Linked DNA regions of Oryctolagus cuniculus. The protein of the gene in region 3 purifies or fractionates together with the protein of the main gene of each other region. This does not show direct contact. Links are inferred from orthologs where the notes say so. Each region holds a gene or a part of one and is shown on either strand. Other genes may lie near its edges. The genes, in order: RASSF6, RASSF3, STK3, MAP1S and MAP1B.

Region 1 (3,520 bases), on a different chromosome or scaffold from region 3:
GGAAAGCAGTGGAGGATGGCCCAAGTGCTTGGGCCCCTGCACCCGCATGGAGACTGGGAAGAAGCACCTGGCTCCTGGCTTCTGATCGGCACAGCTCCAGCCATTGCAGCCATCTGGAGAGTGAACCAACAGAAAAAAGACCTCTCTCTCTATCTCTTCCTCTCACTGTCTGTAACTCTACCTCTCAAATAAATAAATAAAATCTTAAAAAAAAAAAAAAAAGAAATACGTGGTTGGGAGCTGTTGGTATAGAGATGGAATTCAAAGCGCCTGGAGGTCACCAAGGACATCGGTACAGATCCAGAGAAGAGCCCTAGGGATAGGCAATAAGATTAGGTGTAAAAAGCCTTCAAGTGAGTTTCTTAGCCAGCCTCTAAGGAGATATTTTCTGATGGTAGATGGTAGAAAATATTCTGAAATCCCTTGTCTCGAAAACACATACCAATGCTTGATAACAGATGGAGTAGTCAATTCTAGAGAACAAGAATTACATCACTTCAGACAGTAGTTGTTCCATGAGGTTTTTATGTAAAGAATTAATTAGAGTCTCTTTGGACAAAGAAAGGATGTTATGCACTAATAATATAGAATCTGCATTGTGTGCTGACATTTCAAAGAAAGACCTTTGTGTTGGGTTGTTGAAAACACTTGACCTCTGAGTAATCCGAAATGAACTAACTGAAAAATGGGACAAAGAGCAAAACTTTGTTTCTAGAGTGGCTTAAAGACAGTTTACCAGACAAAGAAATAAGCAGCAGTAATAATTACCAAGCACATCTGGAGTGCTTGCCAGGTCCTGTGAATTAGGGATTCTCATAATGTCCATTTTTCCGAAGAGGAAGCCCAGACTTCAAAAGGTAGTCAGCAGCTTGCTCAAGGCCGAGTAACTAGGAAGCAGCAAAGCCAGGGTTTGAACACAAGTCTAGCTGATTCCAACGTCTGGCATTTTCTTTATTCTCTTAAATAAGAATTGAGTCATTCATGTTGTCTAACAGTTGAATTTTCATAATAACAGTAGCTAATTGTTGTCATAATGGTTACTGGATGGTTGACATATAACTCTTCTTGCTTCTATATTTTCCCACGTTTCTATAACAATTACACATTAATTACTTTAATAACAGAAACAGACTTACTCCTATTAAAGATAAAAATAGATTAGAAAATAAGTTCTATGGGAACATTGTTCTCAGTGTTGTTTAAAAACAAGTAGTGTTCAACACATGTTTTTAAATTTTTCTTTAATGCACAGCATTTTCTTCTTTTATTACACTATTTCTAACTTAAAAGAATTTCCAGGGCCAGTGCTGTGGCATAGTGGGAAAAGCCGCCACCTGCAGTGCCGGCATCACATATGGGCGCCAGTTCCAGAGCTGGCTGCTCCATTTTCAATCCAGCTCTATGCTATGGCTTGGGAAGACAGTAGAAGATGGCCCAAGGCCTTGGTTCCCTGCACCCGTGTGGGAGACCCGGAAGAAGCTCCTGTCTCCTGGCTTCAGATCAGCACAGCTCCAGCAGTCACAGCCACTTGGGGGAGTGAACCAACGGATGGAAGACCTCTCTCTCTCTCTGCCTCTCCTTCTCTCTGTGTAACTCTCACTTTCAAATGAATAAATAAATCTTCAAAAAATTTTCCTAAAATTCTATTGACTTTTCAAAACTATCACTTTGATAGTGTTTTGGACTTTACAGTGTGTTTTCACATGTACTCTGTATACAGAATTCTCATGTATTCTGTATAACTTTTTGAGCTAAACTTTTCTTGTTCAGAAATAAGAAAACAAGTGCTAAGTGTCCCGATAGTTCTTTCCTATGATTTCTAGTCCAGTGCAATTTTAAAACCTGCTTTAATTTTAAATTAAACAGAATTACAGAAATACAGAATTCCACTGAATGGACGATTCAGAGTTCAGACTATCTTAGCATACTACGCCCTCTGGTGGATGTGCCATTAGCATTGTGACTAATTTTATTGGGTATGGTTTTCAAAAATAGAATATTTCAAAAATAAGTCTTTTGTAGATAAATTAATAAAAATCATTCTTGGGATTTTTGAATCTGTTATTGTTTCTCATGAACTTAATTTCCACAACATCAGTTAAATCATTTAGCTTCTATAAATCATACAAAAACAACGTGGGGGAATATTGGTTTCTTCCTTAGGCAGAAGATGGCAACCTAATTGTGGAAGGAATGCTGGACATTTTCTGGGGAGTAAAACGACCTATACAGCTGAAAATACAAGATGAGAACCAAATCTCTCCTTTCACTACGTTGAAGTCTCCAGAAACCTTTTCCACCAAAGGGTAAGCCATCTTTCATGCTTTTAGTTCCTTAGATGATATGTATATTTACATTCGTTGTATGCACTCTGAAAGAGGGAGCTGATGCTTGTTGGTAAATGCTTACACAGTGGATTTGAATCCCCTGTGAAGTAGGAGTTTGTAAGTCAGGACTCTGCAAAGTTATGTAATTTGTGCAAGCTCCCCGCTAAGGTTGGCAGAAGTTAGAACCTTAGTTCTACGGGCAACGGAATCTGAGCTCTGAATCCCTTTACAGTATTGCTTCTCTCCTGAGAGTCTACGTTCTTTCATTGGGAAAAAAAAATATTGTAACCCAGGATTTGTTTATCCCTATCCTAGTCTCCTAAACATGGGGCAGAATTTAGACATCTCTCACTGGAGCAAGGGATTCTTCCTGATTTCTAATAAAGACTTAATCATGCCAGACCTGATTGTTCTGATCCTGCTCAACAGAGCACAGCAAAGTGCATTAGAAGTTAAATAAATACGCAAAACAATTTCCTGTATGGCTTACCTTGAATATCCAAGTTGAGCTGTTTTCTTCATTATTCCTTCCACTTATCAAAAAAATTAATTAATAAGTATTCCCGACAGGAATATACCTACAAAATTCCCTCCTACCTCTGCTTCTCCCTTCCTTCCTTCCTTCTATTTTTTTAAATTCTTGACTTCCAGCTCTTCTCCCATCTCTACATGAACACTGAGCTATGAGCCTTCTCTTCACAGCATTCTGTCCTCCCATTCATTGTTAGGGTGAGTCAGGTTCTCTCAGAGGGGAGGACAGGAAAAGGGCTGCCAGGACAATTTGCACAATGTGGTCTTTGGCCACAATAAGAACAAACAGCTGTCACCTCAAGGGAAGTCTGCTTTTCATTTGGAGAAAACATTTAAGCCCCACGATGACTGTTGGCTTGCCAATGTTTCCAAACATTATGCCCCAGCATTAAGAACATTTTTAATTCCCTACACATATTGTTCAGGTTCTCATTCTCCTGAATCTCTGAGCAGGAGACTACCAGCTTCGAGACACCTATTTGCCATCCTTTAAGACTCAGGTCAGGTGACATTTTTCAGAGAGCCTTTTCTGGCCCTTCAGTGTGTAGTGGGTACATTGACACTTATCTACATCACTCTCAGAGCATACAGCTTCCTGCATTTTTATGAACTGATTTCCCCCTCTGTAGTGTGAGCTTCAGGATGGGAGAGAAGAAGCTTTG
Region 2 (2,896 bases), on a different chromosome or scaffold from region 3:
CTTAACATCATCCTCACAGAACTACAACAACCTAAAAGAAGATAAGAACACAAAAACCCAGAGTTCATGCTTCCAAGCACTGTAGGCGCTCCTGCCAAGGCTGCCTGCGGGCCCCCGCTCGCTGCCATGGAACAAGCTAGCAGAGTCCCTTACACAGTGGCTAAAGGTGCAGGAGGCTGCGTGACCAGGTCGTAGGAACTAGATCTAGAGAGAAAAGGGGGAAGACCCTAGCGTCCCAGGGCGAGCACACAGCCCTCTGCAAAGCGAGGCACTTGGGTGCGTGGGTCCCGCCGCGTGCCTTCCTGGCAGGGAGCCGGCCGCTCTACCCGGGCTTCCAGCCCTCGCCCAGGGCCTCTTCCAGCTTGTGTCTGTAGGCAGAGTAGCGCCGCCTCAGGCTCTGCAGCTGCTCGTCTTCTTCTTTGTCCAGCATGCGCAAGAAGTTCTGCAGCTCTGGAAGGCTGAAGGCTTCCCACTGTGAAACAACACACACACAAAATCCTGCCAGGTACTGAACTCGGAGTCAGGACTCAAGCAAGGGGCTGCTGATGCTGTAACACAGCGGGTAAAGCCGCCGCCTGCACTGCCAGCATCCCATATGGGCGCCGGCTGGAATCCCGACTGCTCCACTTCTGATCCAGCTCCCTGAGGGTGGCCTGGGAAAGCAGCAGATGATGGCCCAGGTGTTTGGGCCCCTGCACCCACGTGGGAGACCAGGATGAAGCTTCTGGCTCCTGGCTTCAGCCTGGCCCAGCCCTGGTGTTGAAGTCATCTGGGGAGTGAACCAGTGGATAGAAGTTCTAACTCTGATTTTCAAATAAATAAATAAATATTTAAAAACAAATAAATAAATTAAAAAATAATTTTTGTAAAGTGAGAAACATGGAACAGAAGAGCAAAATATTACATTAGAATATTGTGAGGGGCCAGCGCTGTGGCGTAGCGGGTAAAGCCACCACCTGCAGTGCCAGCATCCCATATGGCTGCTCCACTTCTGATCCAGCTCTTTGCTATGGCCTGGGAAGGCAGTGGAAGAAGGTCCAAGTCCTGGCTCCTGGCTTCAGATCAGCGCAGCTCTGGCCGTTGCAGCCAACTGGGCAGTAAACCAGCAGATGGAAGACTTCTCTCTGTCTCTCTGTCTGCCCTCTCTTTGTGTAACTATGACTTTCAAATAAATAAATCTTTTCAAAAAAGAATATTCTGTGAATTTGTCATAATTAAACTGTACGTTAAGGTCTTCAAAATAAGGGCATTATAAAGGGTCTTCTCCCTCTGTCCTGACAACTATGGAAGCTTTCCTCCCTCAGGTTAGTTTCCCTTAAATAACTGAGGAACAAGAACACCACACACAGGCCCAAGAAAGCAGTCTGGAGCCCTGAAACACAATGTACAGTAAGTTTTAAAACTAAGTTAACCTAATTCCTCCCCAGGGTTGCTTTAAACCATGTGAAATCCTTAAAAGCCCTATAGCAAGAAAAATAAACCAGTGACAAGACTATGCTAATGAGTCTGGCTTGGGCTTTCTCGGGCACAGATGAGACCTCTGCACCCAGCTCCCTCTCCAAAACCAGAGTCGGAATTCCTTTAAAAGCTTCAAGATCAGAAGGAACTTCAAAAATGTCTCAAGTCACAATCTTCCTAAAACTTCCTGAGCTGAGTGCTAATTTACACATCAGCATACTATCTGCAAAGCACATTTACATGCATGTCTAATCGGTGAGCACCTTTTCAGACAGCCCAGTTCCCCTTTACAGAGGGCATTATGACTGCAAGATTTACCCATGGTCAAGCCTTGAGGCTTGTATACAGTAGGAAGCAGGGCCCTGGTTTCCTAACTTCAAAAATTTTATTTATTTGAAAATCAGAAAGACAAACAGAGATCTCCCATCTGCTGGTTCACTTCCTAAATGCCCACAACAGCCAGGGCTGGGCCAGGCTGAAGCCAGGAGCCTGGGACTCAACCCAGATCTCCCACTTGGGTAGAGGAACCCAAGTACTTGAGCCATTGCCTGCTGCCTCCCAGAGGAGCTGGGACTCAAATCTGTGTCCTTCGATATGGGACACAGGCATCTCACGTGGTCTCTTAACTGACACATCAAATGCCTGCCCCACGGTTTCGTAACCTTTAACCTAGAAAACACATCCACATTGCATCGCCTTCCATATCGTCTCCTGTTCTAAACAAAAGACAGAGGCCCAGAGCTTAAGAGATGTGTTCTCGTGTCACTCTCAGGTTGATACTTCTAGAGGACAGTCTCAAGAGCTTTTATTCTGAACTGGCCCCAGTACAATCTTCCTGGAAACAGAAGGCAGACGATGCACTCAGAGAATTTATTAATGATTCGACTGGGCAAAGAAGGGGGAGACTCTCCAAAGTCAAATGTCTTTCGTGGTAAAGCGATCAGATTTCCTACATTGCCCTTTAGAGAGAAACTGGCCTGAAGACTCCTGTTAAGTAGCAAACATATGGAGAGTGTCAACTTTCAAAGTTCAGCTGGGTAAGAGTGCTGTGGAGGCAGGAAGGGATGGAAATGACTCTCTAGATGGAAATTTAAAATCTTCACTTCCTCCGACCTCTGAAAATTGCAGACCAACACAGTATTGTAAGAGAATTACACTGCAGGTTAACTTGGGGCTCACTCATTCAGAATCTCCTCTCTCTCTCCCCCACTCCTCTGCCCCTCTCGCTCTTTCTTCCCTGTGGCCGAGCCACCAGACTGGAACAATAAAACAGGGCCAGCTGCTCCGTTCAGTTTAAAGCAATAATGAACAACCACTTACCTCTCCGATTTCATGTTCACGAAGAACAAAGCTAAGTGTGTCTGTTCTGGGCCCTGCCACCAAACGCAGGTACAGTGGATGCTCCCGGTCTGACAGCTTGCAGGCGTAGACTGGGTGA
Region 3 (2,702 bases):
AGACCTCAATCAAGGGAGAGCTGAAACATATATTCTAAGTTCAGTCTTCATTTTTAATAACCTTTTTTTCAATATTCATCACGATTTTTCCAATCTCATCATTTGTATCTAACTGCATTGGTATTACCTGGGGCACTCATGCATCTTCAAAAGGAAGGGGAGCTTCCCAGGGAGGATGAACCTCCTGTGGCAGGCATCACTGAGCTCACCTGCCTGTCCGCCCCGCCTCCCTCTGCAGGGCTGCACGCCGCACTTCCCAGCTCCTTGCAAAGTGAGGGAGGCCTCATGACTCGTTCTGAATACCAGGTTGCTGAGGACCGGCAAGGCTTTCCTGCAGGCTGGAGCTGGCCTGAGACTCGCCCCAACTCCCATCCCTGGCTGTGATGACCACAAGGTCCCCGAGTGTGGATGACAGCAGCAGAGCACCGCCCACGTGGGATGGGCTGAGTGAGGAGTCGCCATGTTAGTTAATAAAAACCCACGTTAGTGATAATAAAGATAACGAGATGCAAAGTGCTGGGTGAAGTGTATTTGTCTTCATGATTTCCACGTAGTAACCGAACACACCAGAGTGAACACTGTCAGCACAGCTACAGGCAGCTTAGGAAACGTGGTCCCAGCTCAGTCTCACCAGTGCGCATTTCCCTTGGAAGTGAGTTTCTTTGTAACGGTTTTAATCTTTTTTATTTCCCTAGTCTCCAAGGCTTGCACAGTCCAGTACAAATGTTTTTGCTATTTTATTATCAGGCACAAGATGTTTACCAATTCCTAGGAAATAAATGAAATCAACAAAAAGTCCTGTGTCAATAGAACGCATTTCCATGGAAATAAATTTGATGAGCTATTACAGTTTGATTCAGTTTAGCTATCAGACTTACACATGAAACACAAAACAACGCTAACAAAGTACATTTGTCAAAAGGTTTAATTTCCTTTAAAATATTTCCCATGCTTTTTTGTGCAAGGGTTCCACTGATTTCTTTGGTTTTAAACATTATAGCTCTGTTTGACCTAAATATATATAGTTCTGTTTGTAGCAAACATCAAAAATCAAAACAATTAAACAAAATCTCAAAAGGTAAAAATGGAATTATTGCTTCAATATAAAAAATGCTCTATCCATTTGGGCACTATTACTATTATTGCTTTGTTGGTATTGAAAAACTATCTTGGAAATCAAGGAAGGTAGCCCAGAGCTCCCTGCTGGAAGTATCATTTTGTTGTGCATCATTATCTATTAAAATGTCCCCACCTGCTCCTACTCTATCCTGATCTTGTCCTTAAAAAATAAGACAATGTGAAATAGCATAAATAAATAAGTTTACCTAGTGAGATACAATAAATAGGCTACTAGATAGGAATAAAAAGTACTGTGACATAAAGCCCTTCAGTGCTGTACAATGGAACAATAGCTTTGGATTTTCAAGGTCTCTACACATAGCCTTTGTTCTAGAACATGGTTTTGCTGCTGGTATGCAGTGGGCGGGGGGGCGGGGAGAACACACTTCTGGTCACTTAAAGATGAGAACACAGTGGAAACAACTGGAGAGTCTGCCTTTAGTTACCCGGGTATGTACCATCATCAGTTTTGGACTTTGGCCTAGAGCGTAAATCTAAGGGATTAAGAAGACAAAAAAAAATCACAATGTTCCTTCAATTCTTAGTGGTTTCTTGGTCTCCAGAATAGCCATGGAAACAGGAAAAGGTCGGCTCAGAAGTTCTGCTGCCTCCTCTTCTTGGCGTCCATGGCGTCCAGGATCGGCTGCCTCTTCACGGTGTAGCGCTGTCGGAGCTCCTCGATCTCCCGCTCCATCATGGGGTCCAGCGCCTTCAACCGCATCTGCAGCTCCTCTAAACTCAGGTTTTTTAACTAGACAGAGAAGAAAACAAAGATGTTACTGTAGTAAAACCACCTACTGTATGTCCAAGACTAAAGAGTTTTAGCATAAATATTTCAGCAAATTCTTTACAACGGTTTTGAAGTATGGTTCAACAGCTCAAACAGGAATCCATTCCCTAAAGAACCCAGAAGCCAGATCTTGTAAGAATCTCAAGTAATTTGCAACAAAATGATCAAAACCTCTGCTTTTGGGACAGAGCAAAGGAGAAAAATGTATCTGTTGAAAAAAAAAAAAAAGGCACAAAGACAAACCCGCCAACAAACAGGTTGTTGGGTGGCCTGCCCAGCTCGGAGCGGCAGAGGCCTGGCCACGGGCAGTGTCACCCCAGGAATGTCCCATGAGGCCCTGGGCAGCGCCATGATCCTCCATGTGACCGTAAGTGCACATTTTAAGCACAGTCGGGAAATCCCATGGCGAGCCTGATAAAACATGGTTTTAAATGAGCGTCCCCGGTGTGCCAGCCTGGTACGAACAGCGCTCCCCAAGTACTGCCGTGGGCCTGGCGCGTGTGGACACGAAGCAGAGCGCGGCCACGCTGGGGGTATGGACAACGGCAGAAGACAGGTCTCACGTCACGTGTGTAAGAGCGATAACATCTATTCTGAGGCATAATAGGATTTATGGCATTTTGCCAAGCTTTACTGTATCGATTTCTATGTTGAAACAGCAAGATATGGATTATCTCCTGAGAAACACATTTTAGGGATGTTGTCTAAGGGCTTATGAGATGTCCTGAAATATGTCACTGAACGTGCTTTTATCTTCTTAACATTAAAAAAAATCTAAAACCCTGTTTCCTTT
Region 4 (2,785 bases), on a different chromosome or scaffold from region 3:
GGGTGCCCGGTGGCTGGGCCGGGCTGGACCGGACCGGCGCCCCACGCGGCGGCTACACCCACCGCCCTGGGCTTGGTCCTCCCGTGGCTGCCGGCGCCCCCTTCTCTGTAAGGCGGGTGCCGCCCCAGGGGGCGGGGCCGCAGCAGGTGTCACTCAGCGTCGGGGCTGCGTGCTCCCGCCCGCGCTGGGCAGGGTCTGCGGGCGCCCCGCGTCTTGCTAGGCCTCGTCGTTCTGTGGTTTGTTTGTGTAGTTAAACGGCGGCCCTGACGCACGGGGGGGGGGGGGGGGGGGCAGCTCACTAAGGTGTTGATTGACTTCCGGCATCTTCTCCCGCGCTGGCTTTTCTTTGCAAGGCATAGAGAGGTTCGGTACCCAAACAGGAGCTGGGATTGGACCAGGCAGGAGCCAGGAGCTCCATCCGGGTCTCCCGCGCAGGTGCAGGGACCCAAGCACTCGGGCCATCTTCTACTGCTTTCCCAGGACTGAGCAGGGAGCGGCCCGGAAGTGGAGCTGCCGAGACTCGAGCCGGCGCCCACGTGGGATGCCGGCGCCAGCCCCGGCCCCGTACTGGTCGCTTCCTCGTCCCGCAGCCAGGGTCAGGGCGCGCTGCGTCGGTCACCCGGGATGCGGGTGTTCGGGGGTGTCTCCTCCGCTCAGCGTGTTTGTGCCTGGGGGTGTTTGTTCACCACCCCACCCCCCCAGCTGGCTCCGGCCCGGCCATGCGTGGCTCAGGAGCCTGGGCAGTGAATCCCCGTTTTGCCCCCGAGCCGCTGGCGAGTCCAGGCTCCGGTCACCAGGGCCACCCCGGGTTGGCCGAGTCTGTGTGTCGCTGTGGGCTCACGTGCAGGCCCTGCTTGCTTGCCCCAACCTTTATCGCTCTTTTTGCATTTTTTTAAGAATTTATTTGCAATGCAGAGAGGGAGAGAGAGGTCTTCCATCCGCTGGGTCACTCCCCAAATGGCCAGAACAGCCAGAGCTGTGCCAGGCTGGAGCCAGGAGCCAGGAGTTTCTTCCCGGTCTCCCACGTGCAGGGGCCCAAGCACTTGGGCCATCTTCCACTGGTTTCCCAGGCCACAGCAGAGAGCTGGACCGGAAGTGGAGCGGCTGGGACTTGAACCCGCGCCCCTGTGGGATGCCACACGGCAGGCGGCTGCTTCACCCGCTGAGCCCCGGCACCGGCCCCTCCTTTGGCCTCTTCAGCCTCAGGGCGGGGGCTGCAGCCTGGGGTCGGGAGTTCAGGGCCTTGTCCGTGGGTGGAGAGGCGGCACCTCCTAGGGTCTTCCCCTGTGACTGCCAAGGCCACGGCTCCACATCAGCATGGGGGGGGCTGGGCTGCTCCCTGGTCCGTATGACCCCCGGGCCTGGCGCGCCCCCCCGAGTGGACGCCACACAGCAGTGTCCACTTCCGGGAGGCAGCCTCCCCCAGGTAGCCCTTCCTGATTGACTTCTCGCTCTCGCTGACCCTGTGGCTGACCCCCGAGGCGCAGCTCCTGGCATTGCAGACTGACTAAAGGATTGTGGTCTGCGAGCCCGCTGAGGGCCTGGAGCCCCGGGCGCCCTCGCTCACCGCCGACCCGCTTCCTGCCCTCAGGCCCCGCCGGCAGCCGGCCCGGAGGCTCAGCCGCCGCGCCCGGCTCCCCCGTCTACCTGGATCTGGCCTACCTGCCCAGCGGGAGCGGCGCGCGCCTGGTGGACGAGGAGTTCTTCCGGCGCGTGCGCGCACTCTGCTACGTCATCAGCGGCCAGGACCAGCGCAGGGAGGAGGGGATGCGCGCCGTGCTGGACGCGCTGCTGGCCGGCAAGGAGCGGTGGGACCGCGAGCTGCAGGTGCGCACCGCCTCGCCCTGGGCCCCCTGGCTCCTGGCCACGCCCTCGTGGGGCGGGAACAGGCGGCTTCCGGGCGGAGGGGACCCCTGAGGGTCGGGCTCCTTCCATCCCGCCTCTGCTTGGCCTCTGCACGCTCACAGGGGCCAGTCAAGCGCGGACTTCTCGTTCCCGGCGGGGGGCGGGGCCTGGAGGGAGGGGGCGCCCCTGACCGTGTACTGCCCCCCCGCAGGTGACCCTGATCCCCACCTTCGACTCGGCGGCCATGCACCGCTGGTACGAGGACACGCACGGCCGGCACCAGGCGCTGGGCGTCACGGTGCTGGGCAGCAACAGCATGGTGTCCATGCAGGACGAGGCCTTCCCCGCCTGCAAGGTCGAGTTCTAGCCCCGCCCCCGCCCCGCAGCCCCGCCCCCGGAAATAAAGCCCCTGCGCACCCCCACCCCGGCCTGGACGCTTCTTCCGGCGGGACCCCAGGCCTCGGCGGCCTCCTCCCCGGGCCTTGCAACAGCAGAGGGGCCGCCGGCGCCCCCTGGCGGTGACCAAACCCTGCTTGAGACGAGGGTTCGAGAGGGCGTTGGGAGGGGGCGGCCCAGCTGGGTTCCGGGCCGGGAGAGGCTCCACTGGAGACGGGAGACGGAGACGCAGGGCAGGGCCGGGTCCTCTCCCGAAGGCGCAGGGCAGGGGTCAGCCGGGCGTGGACCAGTGCGAGCAGCCAGAGGTGGGGGGAGCGGGTCTGGGGGGGGTTACGGCCACGGGGCAGGTGCACCCCAGGGGAACCACCCAGCGTTGTGGGGGCGCAGCGGGCTCAGTGCCTCCCCAGACTCCCACATCCGGGACTGGAGCGGCCGGGTTTGAGTCCCGGCCGCTCCACGTCCCACCCGGCTCCCCCACGTGCGAACCCTGGGAGGGGAGGGTCCCGCCGGGTCCCGTCCCCCCATGTGGGGGGCCTGGATGGAG
Region 5 (4,168 bases), on a different chromosome or scaffold from region 3:
AGCTGCATCCAGACCCCAGGACCCAGGAGAGCAATCTCCGGGTGGAGGGGAGCGGGGAGCAGCATCTGTTACGGCTGCGGAAGGAAATGGCTTTTGCTCACTCACTCGGGTGATGTTTAATGGGATCAATACAGCCATTTTGAAGTTCCATGCAAACACCTGACCAAAGGAGGGAATTAAAAATCAGGAAGGCACCGAGGGGGCTTCCGGGATTCTGGGAATGTGTTTTCCTGAGCTGGATGGCACAGGGGCACTCATTTGTGAAAATTCATGGCACTGCTGGTGGGTGAGGTTCGCTCTCTCCCTCTACATAATACTGTGCACAAATTTTTTTTTTTTTAATTTCTAAGTCAGGAGTTATCTAGGAGCCCTGACATTGTGAACAAGAATAAAAGCCCAGCAGTGCGTCGAAGCTGCCCGAGTAAGCCCCCTGGGGACCGAGGCACCGCAAGGGTGATCAGCTGGGCAACAAAGCAGCGCGGATCTCCACGGTCGCCAGGTGCCTGCTGAAGCGGCTCCCCGCTCCCCGCTCGGGGCGCTGCCCACAAGTGGATGACTCTACAAAGGCAGGCGCGGCGGCACGAAAATCGCCCTGTGATGTCCGCCGGCCCGGCGCTCCCATCATGACAGGGTCGGAAAAAGAGTGACGCTGCAGTACTGCGCTTCTGTCAGTCACCCCATGGCTGCTGTGACCTTGAGCCTTCCTGCCTGTCAGGGCCGCGTCTCCGAAATGGGGGCAAGGGTCCCACTCCTGGCACCGCACCGGGTGCTGATGCAGATTTTATAGCGTGAAAGCCACCCCCCTGATGTGCTATTATTTCCCGGCAACGTTGCAGACAAACGATATTAAAAAAAAAAAATCCGAAGTCATTCATTCCCACAATGGCCACACCCAAAGTCGGTACGAGTGAAACGAAGGAAAAACAGGGGACCCCCCAAAAAAATCTAAATTTAAATTAAATCACATCAGATCAAAGGCCTATATTTTCAAAATGAAGGGTTATTGAGATGCTCAGGCCACTTCACTATGGAAATGCCTCCTGCTCTTGAATTTTTTTCAAATAAAGTATCATTAGTGCTTTCTGCTCAGATTTTTCTGAAGCTGCAAGGAAAAAAAAAATCAGCGCTTTAAAGTTAAACAAAAGAACCAGGTCTGCAGTGCCCGTCCCCACCCTGCAGCCTTTTGTTCTGGAGACCCCTGGCCGTTTCCAAACACAGAGGCGCAAAACGAGCGCTTCAGTTTTCGCCTAAAACCAGGTTTTTTTCTTTCGTCTTTTCTCGGGATGGGGGAGCGGGAACGAGCGCTGCGTGAACGCCCTTTGTCCGCCTCGGGCTGCCGTAGAGACCGCAGTGCGGACTGCACCACGCCCACCAGCCCGCGGCTCCCGGCAGGATCGCTTCAGCACCACCCTGGAGAATAGAGCGCGGGCTAGGGCTGCGGCGGGACTCGCGGCCCCCGGCGGGGCTGCGGAGGTCGGGCGGGGGCTGGGGCGGCGCCCCCGGGGGCCTGAGGGCCACCCAGCCGGGCAGCCGCAGGAGGGGGCGCCGCAGTGCGGGGGGCAGGTGCGGCGGGCAGGTGGGGGCGCTGCGGCAGCCGGGTCGGCTCTGCTCGGCCGGCACCCGACGGACCCTCGGGGCCCCGCCCTGGGTTGCCCAGGCACCGCTGCTCGGCCTCTGCGGGGCACGCTCGGGGTGCGCACCGCGGCGAGGGGCAGGCCCTCCCCGCGACGCCCCCGCCCCCTCCTCCGAAGACGAGACTCGGAGAAGCGGCGGCCCCACCCTGCAGCTTGGGGGTCCCATTGTCCTTTCGAAAAGCTGCGACTGCGGACCCCGGGGGCGGGAGGGAGACGGGCTTCGTCTGGGAACCCGGCACGGGTGGCTCTCCATCCTTGCGCCCTGGGGTGGGGGAGCGGGCGTGGCCCTCCTACCCGCCGAGTCACCCAGGGAAAGAAAGGATCGGGCGGTTTAAGCCGGAAAGGGCATTTCTGGGAGGCTGGGGAGCCGTGCTGAGACGCTGGCCACGCGGGGTACCCGCTCTTGGAGTTACAGCCCCAGGTGTGCCCCGCCCCGCCCTTGGTCGTAGGGCTGCGGCGGTATTGTGGCCTCTGCGCCCCTGACACCTGCCCTCCACGCAGCGGACCTCGCCCAGTGCCAGGTCCCTCAAGGTTATTAGCGACCTCGCCCCGGGTCTCAGACCTGGGCATTCGTACCGCTCTCGGAACCAGCCCCAGACGGAGGGCGGGAGGGGCCGGGGCCGGGGCCGCGGCGCCCTGGGTGGGGTCGAGCCTGCGCGCGCCCGGGGCCGCTTACCGAGCTCGATGTTGCCGATGGCGCGCCGCAGGTGCTCCTCGGTCACGATCTCGCCGACGACCACCAGCAAGTAGAACTTGCTGTCGAGGAAGCGGTGCGACAAGCTGGGCGAGGTGGACGCCGCCGGGTTGGCGACGCCGCCGGAAGGCTCCGGCTCGGCGGCCTCCACCACCACGGTCGCCATCCTGCCGGCCGCTGAGCTGCGCGCAGTACTCGCTCCGCGCTCGCCTCTGCGGCAGGAGAAAGGATTATCCCCGAAGGTGCCGTCCGCGCTCCGCCCCCTGCGTCCCCCTCCTCCCGGCGCCTCGCACCGCCTCCCCTCCGCCCTCTCCCAGCGCGGCGGAGAGGAGCGGGCAGTGAGAGCGGGCGGGGAGGCGGCGCCGCTTTTATATGGACAGCGGGCAGGGAGCCGGGGAGGAGGAGGAGGAGGAGGAGGAAGGGACCACCCGGCACATCCTCACGCGGTGGCAGGCTCCGCTCTTCCAACCGTTGGCCCGGGGCTGATGTCATCCGCAGCAAATCATCTCGCCCGCGGCCCGGAAGCCAGAGGGACGAGGTGTGCGGACAATGGTCTGGGCAGGGCCGCGAGCCCAGGGGCTGGGGAACCCGAAGGGGGAGGACACTCGCAAGCCCCTGCTCGCACCCGCACCCGCACCCGTCCCCACCCCCGCCCCCGCCGCCGGCCGTGCAGGAGGGTGGGATGCGTTTCCCTGTGCAGAGTGCAGCCGGCCGCCTTGTCCGAGGTGCACAGTGAGGCCTCTGCCTCCTGACCTGCCTGGGCTGGAGCTCAGGGGCTGTGCAGGCTGCGGCGGCCTCAGCTGAGGGTACCCCCCTCCCATCCCCCAGGGAGACGGAACTTGCTGGCTTTGCCCTTGTGCATTTACACCTGTTTACCTAGATATTCCAAACAGCAGTCGTCGTCTCTTTCCTGGACGAACACGTCAAAAATGCAAAGCCGAGGCCGACTGCTGCTCAGGCTTTGGACTCAGCAAGGGCCAGTGATTAAAAAAAAAAAAAAAAGAAAAGCAACCAAGTGCTGGCTCTGCAGTGCTCATGGGAATGAGAGGAAAACAGATGTGTTATCTGAGATACAGATGTTCTGTTCCTACTAATAGAGCAGATAGTATCCGGCAGAACAATCTAGAGAAGGTGCTGTCTCCACTCAGCAGGAGTAAGTGACCATAATGTACTGTGTACTTCCCTGGGGAACACACAAGCAAAATTACGTGGCCATGATGTCTTTTAAAATAGATGTAGCACAAGGGATTTGTATTGCCTTTGGTTTAGAACCTTGCTCCCCAATTGATGGAATGCCGCTTCTGTCCCAGGAAGGGGTGAAGGAGGGGCAGTGGGAGTTGGAGTTTGGGGGAAGAGGAATCAATACAGCTTTACTACTAGATGGCATATTCAAGAAAACAGAGGATATTCCAAGATTTCCAGAGTAAGCCAGTGTCTTAGTTGTCAACAGCTGTGCCTACGGGTCACACACTCTTGGTTCTTATGGCTTTCCTGAGCCCCTGCAATGGGGGTATGACAGGCAGCCAACCACTGCAGCCCACCATCCTGCCTGGCCAGCAGCACTTGGGGACCTGCGACAAGCCCATTGGAAAGCTGCAGGCACCGGTAACCAGAGAGTGAAAGTTTCCTAGCCAGCTGGGCAAGACATCCAGTTACTGGTGGAGAGGGGAGGCCAGCACCCGAGCTCAGAGCGGGCGAAGGAGACTCAGTGACAAGCAGTTTTCCAGAGGTCAGCCATTGAGTCATTGTTGCTCAGCCTTGGCTACTGATTTTTTTTTTCCATCCTTCTGAACCACTATTACTTTGATGTCTGTGGTAGTTTTCTTTTACTCAATTTGTT

Evidence for each region.
Region 1: the proteins of STK3 (region 3) and RASSF6 purify together in Homo sapiens (affinity purification with mass spectrometry; 4 studies listed by BioGRID and IntAct, counting the BioPlex papers as one, with this or other methods). This does not show direct contact. The link is inferred for Oryctolagus cuniculus from reciprocal best matches to the Homo sapiens genes STK3 and RASSF6.
Region 2: the proteins of STK3 (region 3) and RASSF3 purify together in Homo sapiens (affinity purification with mass spectrometry; 4 studies listed by BioGRID and IntAct, with this or other methods). This does not show direct contact. The link is inferred for Oryctolagus cuniculus from reciprocal best matches to the Homo sapiens genes STK3 and RASSF3.
Region 4: the proteins of STK3 (region 3) and MAP1S purify together in Homo sapiens (affinity purification with mass spectrometry; 3 studies listed by BioGRID and IntAct, with this or other methods). This does not show direct contact. The link is inferred for Oryctolagus cuniculus from reciprocal best matches to the Homo sapiens genes STK3 and MAP1S.
Region 5: the proteins of STK3 (region 3) and MAP1B purify together in Homo sapiens (affinity purification with mass spectrometry; 4 studies listed by BioGRID and IntAct, with this or other methods). This does not show direct contact. The link is inferred for Oryctolagus cuniculus from reciprocal best matches to the Homo sapiens genes STK3 and MAP1B.

The regions. Positions count from the first base shown.
Region 1 is NC_091439.1:92,036,894-92,040,413, forward strand, and holds part of RASSF6 (ras association domain-containing protein 6), read left to right. Parts: intron 1-2,163; coding exon 2,164-2,306; intron 2,307-3,520.
Region 2 is NC_091442.1:66,842,580-66,845,475, reverse strand, and holds the end of RASSF3 (ras association domain-containing protein 3), read right to left. Parts: intron 2,889-2,896; coding exon 2,779-2,888; intron 770-2,778; coding exon 521-769; 3' UTR 503-520; downstream 1-502.
Region 3 is NC_091437.1:124,029,582-124,032,283, forward strand, and holds the end of STK3 (serine/threonine-protein kinase 3), read right to left. Parts: intron 1,871-2,702; coding exon 1,712-1,870; 3' UTR 510-1,711; downstream 1-509. UniProt on the Homo sapiens protein: Stress-activated, pro-apoptotic kinase which, following caspase-cleavage, enters the nucleus and induces chromatin condensation followed by internucleosomal DNA fragmentation.
Region 4 is NC_091447.1:65,423,466-65,426,250, forward strand, and holds the end of MAP1S (microtubule-associated protein 1S), read left to right. Parts: intron 1-1,591; coding exon 1,592-1,827; intron 1,828-2,056; coding exon 2,057-2,212; 3' UTR 2,213-2,267; downstream 2,268-2,785. UniProt on the Homo sapiens protein: Microtubule-associated protein that mediates aggregation of mitochondria resulting in cell death and genomic destruction (MAGD). Plays a role in anchoring the microtubule organizing center to the centrosomes. Binds to DNA. Plays a role in apoptosis.
Region 5 is NC_091445.1:38,862,935-38,867,102, forward strand, and holds the start of MAP1B (microtubule-associated protein 1B), read right to left. Parts: upstream 2,807-4,168; 5' UTR 2,495-2,806; coding exon 2,311-2,494; intron 1-2,310. UniProt on the Homo sapiens protein: Facilitates tyrosination of alpha-tubulin in neuronal microtubules. Phosphorylated MAP1B is required for proper microtubule dynamics and plays a role in the cytoskeletal changes that accompany neuronal differentiation and neurite extension.